3 linked regions of the Kluyveromyces lactis genome follow. The protein of the gene in region 2 interacts with the protein of the main gene of each other region in a pairwise test. Links are inferred from orthologs where the notes say so. Each region holds a gene or a part of one and is shown on either strand. Other genes may lie near its edges.

The links. The genes of interacting proteins can lie anywhere in the genome.
Region 1: the proteins of SCD6 (region 2) and EBS1 interact in a two-hybrid assay, tested with the Saccharomyces cerevisiae proteins (2 studies listed by BioGRID). The link is inferred for Kluyveromyces lactis from reciprocal best matches to the Saccharomyces cerevisiae genes SCD6 and EBS1.
Region 3: the proteins of SCD6 (region 2) and KOG1 interact in a two-hybrid assay, tested with the Saccharomyces cerevisiae proteins (2 studies listed by BioGRID, with this or other methods). The link is inferred for Kluyveromyces lactis from reciprocal best matches to the Saccharomyces cerevisiae genes SCD6 and KOG1.

What each region holds. Positions count from the first base shown.
Region 1 is NC_006042.1:1,926,954-1,931,146, forward strand, and holds EBS1 (Ebs1p), read right to left. Parts: upstream 2,815-4,193; coding exon 106-2,814; downstream 1-105. UniProt on the Saccharomyces cerevisiae protein: Plays a role in nonsense-mediated mRNA decay (NMD). Recruits UPF1 to cytoplasmic mRNA decay bodies (P-bodies). Negative regulator of gene expression. Inhibits translation most likely through effects on eIF-4E (CDC33). Involved in telomere maintenance.
Region 2 is NC_006038.1:986,208-989,085, forward strand, and holds SCD6 (Scd6p), read right to left. Parts: upstream 1,404-2,878; coding exon 513-1,403; downstream 1-512. Other genes in the region: peptide alpha-N-acetyltransferase complex B subunit NAT3, read left to right, coding at 1-337; ANT1 (Ant1p), read left to right, coding at 2,086-2,878.
Region 3 is NC_006037.1:828,971-833,163, reverse strand, and holds the start of KOG1 (ubiquitin-binding TORC1 subunit KOG1), read left to right. Parts: upstream 1-1,379; coding exon 1,380-4,193. Other genes in the region: Elongator subunit IKI1, read right to left, coding at 1-734. UniProt on the Saccharomyces cerevisiae protein: Component of TORC1, which regulates multiple cellular processes to control cell growth in response to environmental signals. Nutrient limitation and environmental stress signals cause inactivation of TORC1.

The DNA of each region.
Region 1 (4,193 bases), on a different chromosome or scaffold from region 2:
AACTAAGGAATAGAGAAAAACAAGGCGTTAAAAATAATTATATGTGAATCACTTCAGTACATGAAAGGTAAACACATTTTTCAATCCGAGAACTATTATTTTGCGCTATGAATAAAAGAAAAAGTTGAATTGATCATCAGCCTTTTCAGCCATTGAAGGCAAACGATCCCCTGCAATGGAGACATTGTTATTGGGAAAGAATTGAGAGTCCCTTCTGATATTAGTTGAATTCTGAGGATGGTTTTCTTGATTTTGCAAGTTGTCAAATTGTGGTGAGAACGAAGTGAATGGATTATGGAATTGGGCATATTGGGAGCCCATATATGTTCTCTGTTGAGCTTGTTCGTACAGACCAGCGGAGTTGTTCGCCTGGGATGACATAACAACACTGTCCCTGGCAAATATACTTATTTGAGAATCATGCGAAGCGTTCTGTAAATAGTTGAAAGTGGACAGATTCTGGACATTAAGTTTAGGAGCTTCATTAAGGCCGTTACTATTTTCTCTGGAATCAGTAGAACTGCCATTGGTGTTAGTGGAAGACAGTGGTATCGAAGAGGACGAACTTTGAACATGGATAGATGAAAAAGGAGATGAAACAGAGCCATTGCTAGTATTTGTGCTAGCACTGTTGTTGCCGTGATTTGACATCTCGGTCCTATTGTACAAACTGAAAGATTTTTCATTCTCACTTCTTTCAACTGTGGTTGAGACGGAAAATGATGGCGTGACATTAAAACTCAGTGGCGGTTGGGGAGCAGAAGAACCACTGTAATTCCATACAGGGTTAGCAGGAGTCGTGTTATCTTTCACAGCTTCTTCAGTATAATGTGGCGATGTAGACATGTCCATACTACTTCCACCTGATGCGTTACTGTTCTCTCTAGTAGTGAAAGCCACACTGAATCCATTTTTCTGTGGGTATATCTTTCCCGATCCAGCACCATCGATGGAGAAGCTTTTTGTTACGGACTCTGGTTTAGCAATATTGGGCAGTGAGTTGGCTTTAACCCTTTTAACAGCTGTATGGACGTATCTCTTCTTTTCCGTATCTAATTTGAAACCGCAACAATTTTTCTCTAAGAATTTTTTGTTCGAATAAACTAGGACTTGGACTCTTGATGAGTGCTCTTCCTTTGCGGTAAGCTTATTCTTTGACTTTCCAACTAACCTATCCGGTAAGTTATCCATGGATAAGAGCTTTTCATCATTAAAGTCAGATAAAGTGAATTTCGTAGGTCCAAATTCTTTTAACATGATATCTTCTTCATAGAAGTAATCTCTGGTCGGTCTATGTAGATGTTCGAAACTGATCGACAAATCATTACTAGACAGTAACTCGTTTGTGAGGTTGACCATAGACTGACAGAAAGAAGTTGATCTATGGGCGAATTTTAGCACATTTTTATGAGATTTTATCCAGCACATCATTATTCTAGCCATTGCCAAATACTGAAACATCTCGCAGTTTTTAAATTCCTTCATAATGACTTTATCAATGAGGTGAGTGAAAAACTTGAAGATAAACTCTAAAAATTTGGTTTCTGATTGTATACTTCTAATATTGCTGTTGCCACTGTTATTGATACTGTTGGCGGATCCGTTCCCGTTCATCAGTGTTTTATCATTAGGCATAATAGTTGCAGCAGATGAAGTTGTATTTGAAGAAACACCATTGATCATTTGATACATGTGGAAACTACCTATTAGAAGGATCAAATCTTGGAAAATCATAGAAATGTTCTTAATGTACCTAATTTCTATCTTATCGAAAAGCAAAGTTTGAAAATGCTTCAGACGATCTGAATGTCTATTATTCTTCCAAGTCTGAGGGAAGATATGAGATCCGATTAATGGAAGAATATAAAACTCCATAATTTCCATGTTTATTATTCTTTTTTTAATAGTTTCCTGCACTTTCAAATCATCTAAGGAGTTAAGTAGTTTCTTGAATAGGGATCCGTTGGGATCACCTAACAAGTTTGTGAAGTTGGGGATCCCAGCATCACTTGGTAATCTTGACAAAGAGCTTCTAACAAATTGATAAGCTGCATTGCCGAAATTTTTGGTATGCGTGTAGCAGATACCTCTTTGTAAGAAAGTTTCTCCTACAGATGGCACGATAGTGGAAGCGATATCCAGATATCTCAGAGGTTTCTGGAAATCTGCCTGTTGGTATCTGTCGGACAAATGTTCCATTATGATCTTATATCTTTGGGAACATCCGATGTAGAGTAAACATCTTTGTGATGCCATGACGCAATCAATAGAAAAAGAGTCCTCTGGTTTTAAAACATTTGAAGCATCATCGTTCAGTTTCTTCGTTGAGATGTTCAATTTCGATCTAGTATCCGAGGGAATCAATGCAGTAAGGTTGTAATTTGCGAATATAAGTTCTAGCGTTGAATAGTAAAGTTTATGGATCTGTGGGAAGATTTTTTGTAGAATAGAGTTCAATTGCCTGTGACCAGCATAGTTCGGTCTGGAACCCTCTGCAACGTTCCTATTTCTCCAATTTTGGAAATACTTGAATATGGGGTAATGGACGTGCTTCCAAGTCAAGTCCAAAATACGATGTGCATCTGACGAGCGGATCTCCGATTTTTTTGATCCGGTGTCAGTAGTAATATCTTGATGAAGGCCTTCCGGTATAAGCGACTGAAGCAACATCTGCATGATTTTTGAATGTATCATTTGAATAGCGCCCTTCATCAAGCTGTCATCTCTAAAGAAATCGGTTTCCAGGACAGATTGTAACTGTTTTTGGAACCCGGAAAAGGTTTCCTGTAAATCAGTATTCAGTTTTTGATCCATTTTATAACGTATACGCTCATCCAATGGGTACAGGACAAAAAAGAGTGTTAAGATTAGGTATTAGTACTATTATCGTCGTTGTGAGTGGGAGAAACACCGAAAAAAAAAATCTGAAGCTCTTTCTTCTTTCCTTCAATAACAGAGAAAGCTTAATTCTAAAACCTGTAAAAATCAACAAAGACAACAGGAGACGAACAAGTTATGAGTGAGACCTTTCTCTAATCTTCTTACTTGAGTAGCAGGGACTGAATAAATCAAAAGACCAAAAAAATAACAACTATGATACGGAATAAAAAAGAAAACCTAAGATAAAAAAAAAACTCTACCTTAGTTTCTTACTTTATAACGGTTTTTTTGTTCCTCAATTTTTGTAAATCTTTCTTGCCTTGTTCTTTGACGAATTTTTTAAAGAAAGGTTTACTTTTTTTTTTAAATTTTTCAATATTATTTCCGTCTATTCTTCTAGCTGGGCCAAAATTTGAGTTTTCTTTCCGTCTGATCTCCTCTAAGAATCTCCTTTATATCTTCACTTCCTGGGTTGGAAAATGTCTATTTATTAACACACTTATCCAGAATAGAATAGAAATATTTCAATGTATCACACACACCAAATTTTCCGAAATGTTGTGCTGTGATAAACGGGCGGTCGTTTGTGAGGTATGGTGCCGATAAGAAAGAGAGTTCAAAAAGTAGGCAGTAAAGAAAGAAAAAATTCAAAAACAAACACACACGAAAGTATAAATACTAAAGAGAAAGAAATTTGGTGCGAGTGTAATAATCCACACACATACAATGAAGAATCAACCGACAGAGTATAAAAATAAAAAAGTAAAAAAAAAGAAGTAGAATAATCTGTCCCTATAATAACACCTTCTCTAGTTTCACTGGATGAATAGATGATATAAATGACCTGATCTGATTCTGATTCTGATTCTGCCTGGATATATCAAACATATATGCAAGCATTCAGGATCTAAAACAATCCGAAATAACACCGATGCACAGACATAGTATATATACATATATATATATATGTAATTCTTTTTTTTCAATACTATCTGGGTTAAACAATTTGTAGGAAATCCAAAACGTTAATATATTGTGCGAAAAAATGTCGACAATACTGCAAAAAAATTATAAAAAAAAATTATTCTCGATCTGGAAAAAATCCCATCAGTAATGCAGATGTGACAAAGAAATCAGGGAGAACAGGGGGAAAAAACGCAGTTAATTTTTTTTTTTCTCATTGATTTTCTTTTTCATATTTTTGATATACGGGAAGGTACATCAGGATCTGACGCGTTAATACAAAGGAAGAGCAGAGAGCTCATGAGTACTCAGAGATGAACGGTCAGCAGATTGCTGTCAGTTATGTAATC
Region 2 (2,878 bases):
ACCTAGGTTCAGGAGAATATCGCTTGCATCGATGCTATGTGACACATTAAAAACCATAACAGATAACTCCCCGCATAATGTGAACTTTATTGATTTATTTGTGAAATGCAATAACCAATTGGCGATCAGTTTATATGAAAAATTGGGATATTCTGTCTATAGAAGAGTTGTAGGATATTACAACTCGCAAACTGATCCAATACCTTCCCGGTCAACAAAACCAAATGACCTCAAGGATGCCTTTGACATGAGACATGGGATGGAAAGAGACCAGGGAAAAAGTCTTCGTGCTGATGGACGGAAACATAATTGCTTGCCGATGGACATACGGTTTTAATGCTGTACTTTTAAAATTATAATAGCTTTTAAATTTGTATACTTAGTGTTTCTATGTTACACATGCGTCTTTCCCTGCTTTTACTTCGATAGATTGCTCGATTCATTTCGTGTTAGCTTCAATTTCCCGGTGTGTTAAGAGGTAGTTGAGATAATAGGTATTTAATGGGGTTCTGTTAAGATTCAACATCATGGACTGGTGGCTTGTTGGCAGCATTACGATTTCCACCACGGAAGCCACCGCGGTTACCGCCACGGTTACCTCTATATCCACCACGACCTCTGAAGCCGCCACGACCATTGTTTCTTGGTCTGGCTTGACCGAAAGTATCCAAGTTGACCTGGCGTTCCTCTTCCCATTTGGCAGAAGACGAGTTTTCTACGGCGGAACTTGAAATGGAATCAAAGAATGAGGATTTTTTATCGTAGAAAATCTCATCTGTCTTGGAGGTTTGCTTCTCTTGTTCTATATCTGATTCTCTGGGCTTTTCAGCATTCTGGAATTTGGCGTTGTTACTTTCGAAATCAAATTCAGAATCTGGAACAGCAGAAGGAGCCACCGCAGCCACAGGAGCAGCAGGAGCCGCAGACTTCTGCTGTTGCTGGTTAGGAACTTTCTTTTCGGTAACAGGCTGTTGGCGGGTCTGCTGTCTTTGCTGCTGCTGTTTTTGCTGGTGTTGTTGGGGAACTTGCTGCTGATCCTTGTCTGGAGCGTACACACCATACCCGGCCACCGCAGCAGGAACGTTGGGCCCATTTGCATTAGCCAACGGAGCTGGTGGTTGACCGCTTACCTGAGGTGGCAATACAGGTTGTACTTGTTCCAAAGGAACGTCTAAAATGTTTAAATCCTTAACGTCATTACCGTTGAAAGGCACCGTATCGTAGATATTAGGGTTGGGATAGATTTCTTCCGGGCCCCATCCCTTGCGTCCCTCTGTACCGAAACAACGAACTTGTCTTAAAGTAACAACACCTTTCTCAGAGTCAATAGACTCCAATAAGCCGACATAACGGTTATCAGTATTCGAAATAAGAGCAATAGTCTTACCAATATATTGCGACATCCTTTCAAAAAGTGGACACTCTATAATCAATAAATTAACTTCTAAAACCCACTAGATACAAACAAATATCCTTCTTGAACAACGATCAAAGTGTGGGAATAGTTCTAAATTAAGAGCGAACGTTAGCAGATGCAGTCAGTATTATTCAATGTCATAGTCCCTTAGATTTCTAAAGATTCTTCAATTGGAAATACCTGCATGGAAATTCATAGTTTTGACGGTTTCAATATTAATTTTCGATGTTGACGAATGGCATTTCAAAACCACGTGATCAATATCAACACTTTTTTTTTTTCTTTTCGAAGAATCCTCACTTCGAGGCAGACGAGAGCCAAAAAATGTGTGGAGAAGGGACATTACAGCCGAAAAACTGGAAAATAATCTGTGATAAGTGACCGCTATTCATCTAATTGGGGAATAATTCTGGGAAAGTAACTACTATATAAATGGAATATAATTTCTAAGGTGTAAAGTGCAAAATGTTCCTGTTTTCAAGCCTAAACTCTTCGGTTGGAAGCGGAGAATAATAAAATCAAAAAAAAAAGTAAATTTAGTACTTTGCAGTGCTTATTGAATGAATCACCGCCCCTCTAACAATTTATTGTGAACAGGAGATAATCAATTTTATAAACGCCGAAGTTTAGTAGATCAGGGTCAATTAAATCACGTACCACCGTAACATATGGCAAGTTTAGAGAATGCTTTCGTTGGGGCAGTCTCCAGCGGGTTTGCCAATTTGGCAGTGTATCCACTTGATTTGGCGAAAACTGTGATTCAAACTCAGTTGAAACAAGGTGATTTGTACCCTTCTTCTGATGTTCAAGCTGATGTCTCTACCAAGGAAAGTACTGGCTCCAGTAAACCGAAGAAACACGGTATACAGCAGATTAAACCGAAGCCTGAACCTCCGACAGCGACTAAAGAGTCATTGGAGCAGCGGTATAAGCATGCATTAGATGTGATTGTAAAAGTTTATCGGAATGAAGGGTTTGGTGGATTATACCATGGGTTAAGCGCATCATTGCTTGGAACTTTCATACAGAGTTTCTCTTATTTCTTCTGGTATACCTTGATCAGAAGACATTATTTCCGTGTGAAGAAAGTGAAGGGTGAGGCTGCCAGGTTTTCAACAATTGAAGAATTGCTGCTTTCCATGCTGGCAGCAGCAACCTCTCAGTTATTCACTAATCCAATCAACATTGTTTCGACAAAACAACAGACTAGACGTGGTTTAGAAGGGGACAACAGTTTCAAGGCTATTGCCAAGGAGGTTTATGATGAGGATGGGATTACTGGATTCTGGAAAAGTCTGAAAGTCTCGTTAGTCCTAACGATAAATCCTTCCATTACTTATGCCTCAGCCGAGAAATTGAAAGATATACTTTACCATGTGGAATGGAACGCCAAGGATTTGAACGATTCCTCTTTGCAATTGAAACCTGGTCAGAATTTCTTGATTGGTGTACTCTCTAAGA
Region 3 (4,193 bases), on a different chromosome or scaffold from region 2:
TTGAATGTTGTTAAACCCTCAAACATTTCTGGACTTTCGTCCGTTACTGGTTCTTGTTTCTCTATCACATATTCATAATCATGTGTTTTCGAATTGATTAAGAACTTATTCTTGATAGCCCTACCGGACTTTCGCTTGTTCGTTAGAGTGATATAATATGTGGGATTGTTCAAGTTCTTGGGTATCACAAATCTACTTAAATCTGCATCCAAATCGTCCTCGTCTATGGAAGTCTTCGGAGTAACTTCTATAACCGTATTAGCAATAAATTGCAAGAGTTGGATCGCAGTTGGATAGTTCTGGAGTTCTGCTGGACGCCAGGCTGGTATCGACTGATGATATGTAGCCAATATTGTCACAAATGGCGATGCAATGGTAGATATGAATTGTGTCAAGCTTTCAGAACCGATATAATTGAATGTATCAAAGATCACTAAATGCATCTTAGGAGCTTGTTCCTGTGGCTGCGGTAGGTATGGTTGTAATGCTGCAACTAGTTGCTGGGTGGTTTTCCCCGACGCATCTATGAATTGGCGTGCATATTTCGGTCTATTTGGAGTCTCAAATGATACGAAAACGATCGGCATTTCGTCTGGTATGTTATCTAGGAATTCCTCAACCACAAATCGGCTGCTTTGTGCCATCGTATCGGTACATAGTATTAGCGAAGATTGTTCCTTCAGTGAGAACGTCCTCTTCAATAGAACTTTGGGATTATTATTAGTAGAAGCCATCTCAGAGAATAAAGAGCACGCAGTATATTCGTGATAGATCAGATACCCTGAAAGAATGCTGTAACAGTCGAAATAGATGAAAACAGGCTACTCATAAGTACTAGTTCCCCGCATGAACCTTGATCTTATCTCATCTCATCGCCTGTCAAAGTGAATATTTCACCAAGCATTTGGTATGTGAAATTGCATATTTATAACGTAGATCAAAATAAAAACACATAAAAGTATCCAATAACGGTCCCATTTAGTGCACTTGAAAGCGCAAACCAGTAAAAGTTAGATAAACTGTGGTTATTAAATATCTGGGTTACAATCGAGGGGGTATTGAAGTGGTTGATATAACTTTATTGGATATCTTCCCAACGTTACCCTGATATAAAATATTCGGGTAACAATATACTCAAAGTGTTTGCGTAAAAATACTGTAAGCTCATATACAGATACTGGTCAGTAAGTGTGGAATGATTGGAAAGATAAGGTTTTTGAAGAGCATTTAGTGGGTTTGAAGTCAATTTAGCGAGTCTTCATTGACTAGCAGTTAGGTAATTACTATTTGTACGATTTTCTGCGTTTAAATTTTGTCAGAATCGACCGGTACTGCCACTTTTATCAGAACCAGTTGTGAATAGAACCAATCCTGAAGCAATGGTTGTTTACGGCCCACAGCCTTTGACACGGCTTAATACTGAGACTAGACATGGGTTTGAAGAGCAGTATTCAAGTGAGAAACTCTTGGAGGCGCATGCTAGCAATTTTATATTTTATTACGATGATAAGAGGCATCGAACCAATGGGAATCCAGTTCCTGAGGAAGTGAAGCAAGAGGATAAGGATGGATATTACCAGCCAATTCCTGATTGGAAAATAGTTAAGGACAGGCAGAAGACAGTTGCAGCAGCATTATTACTATGTTTGAATTTGGGAGTGGATCCTCCTGATGTGACTAAGACTCAGCCATGTGCAAGACTTGAATCATGGGTTGATCCCCTTGCATTTCAGGATTCTAAGAAAGCTATTGAACAAATAGGAAAGAACTTACAGAGTCAATACGAGACGCTATCACTACGTACTCGTTATAAACAGAGCTTAGATCCCTGTGTGGAAGATGTGAAACGCTTCTGTAATTCATTGAGAAGGGCTTCGAAAGACGAAAGAATTCTGTTCCATTATAACGGTCATGGTGTACCACAACCAACACCATCTGGAGAAATCTGGGTTTTCAACCGTGGATATACTCAGTATATCCCGGTTTCATTATATGATTTACAAACTTGGCTAGGAGCCCCTTGTATATATGTCTGGGATTGCAATAGTGCTGGTAACATTGTATCCAACTTTAAAAAGTTTGTTCAAAAGAGATTGAGAGACGATAGAGAAGGCAATCATGATATGGCATCACCTTCACCTACAGAAGCATACACTGAATGTGTGCAATTAGCGTCATGTGCAAACAACGAATTATTGCCCATGAACCCTGAATTACCCGCAGATTTTTTCACCTGTTGTCTAACGAATCCAATAGAAATATCTGTTAAGGTGTTTCTAATGCAATCTCCTTTGAAAGACACCAAATATTCCGTGTTCTTCCAAGATAACGATCCTAGAAGAAAAGAGACGGGTGTGAATGAAATGCCTAACATTACGATACCGGGGAAATTGTCTGAGCGTAGGACTCCCCTTGGTGAATTGAATTGGATATTTACTGCTATTACAGATACCATTGCATGGACATCATTACCAAGAGCACTATTTAAGAAGCTATTCAGACATGACCTCATGGTCGCGGCATTATTTCGTAACTTTTTACTCGCCAAAAGAATAATGCCTTGGTACAATTGTCATCCAGTATCAGACCCAGAGTTACCAGACTCAATTGCTGATCATCCAATGTGGAGATCGTGGGATCTAGCAATCGACGAAGTATTGACCAAACTTCTGGAAAGTGCTCATGCTAATGCAAAGAATTCAAACTTCCCTGAATCACAGTTTATAAGCCAACCAAACGAAGGCAATGAAACCAATGACGGGCTGCAATCGAAAAATACTATTGGAAACCTGAGCTCCATGTCATTGGTAAACTTTAGTTCAACAGCACATACCTCCAGCGGTAATTCAGCCTCGCACCCGACTACCTCTCAACAACAACAGCAACAATTTACGAAATTTTTTGAGCAAAATTTAACCGCATTTGATTTATGGGTGAAATATGGGGCTAATTCAAGACATCCACCTGAGCAGCTCCCCATAGTACTACAGGTTCTCTTATCACAAGTCCATCGTGTTAGGACTTTGGTACTGCTATCTAGATTTCTTGATCTTGGACCATGGGCTGTATACCTATCACTTTCAATTGGGATATTCCCTTATGTTTCCAAACTGCTACAAAGTCCTGCCCATGAGTTGAAACCAATTCTAGTGTTCATTTGGGCTAGAATTTTTTCTATTGACTATAAAAATACCCAAACAGAACTTATAAAGGAGCGTGGATACCAATACTTTGTAAAGATGCTTGTACCTGAGTTTGGTGTCCCAAGAGGACATAGTGTCAGTAGTGCTGGAAGTCCCTTGACTATGAATGTACCTGCAAGTTCTTCAACACAGAGGTACCAGATGTATCAACAGCAGCAGCAGCAGCAAGCATATAATAACGCGACGTTATTATCTAACAATAATACTACAGATGAACAAAAGGCAATGGCAGCATTTGTCCTATCGTGCTTTGTTCGCGATTTCCCCCTTGGTCAAAAACACTGTTTCAGCACTGAATTAGTAAACAAGTTATGCTTCTTTATCGAAAATTCTGAAGTTCCGTTATTAAGACAGTGGTGTATCATTTTACTTGGTCAGTTATACATTCACAATCCATTGCATAAGACATTATGCCTCGAAAATGAAAATATGAATACAATCATAGAGTCTTTAAAAGATCCAATTCCAGAGATCAGATGTGCTGCGTTATTAGCAATCAAGTACTTCCTTTCTGAAGAAGACGATGTTAACATTATCTTGAAACTCCAACAAGAATTTCAGCAACAATTACAACAATTCCAAGCGCAGCTGCAGCTTTTGCAATCTCAACAAAACCAGCAGCAGCAGCAGCAACAGGGAAATCAACAGAATAGTACGCATCACATACAGCAACAATACTATCAAATTCAGCAACAATCCCAACAAGTCCAAACATCAATGAGTCAATTGCAAAGTATTAATTTACGCAACCTCAAACAATTTGAGATTAAGACCATTATCACAACCCTTTCGCTAGTCAACGATGGTAGTCCAATGGTACGGAAGGAATTGATCATCTTTTTATCTCAAGTTGTAGAAAGGTATATCGAATTTTTCACTGTAATTGCTTTCACTGAAATCAGCACAGAAATAGTTGCGCTAGAAACGAATGGCCATGAAGACGACTCAAGAAATCCTACTTCAGTTGGTCATGGTTCCATATTCAATACC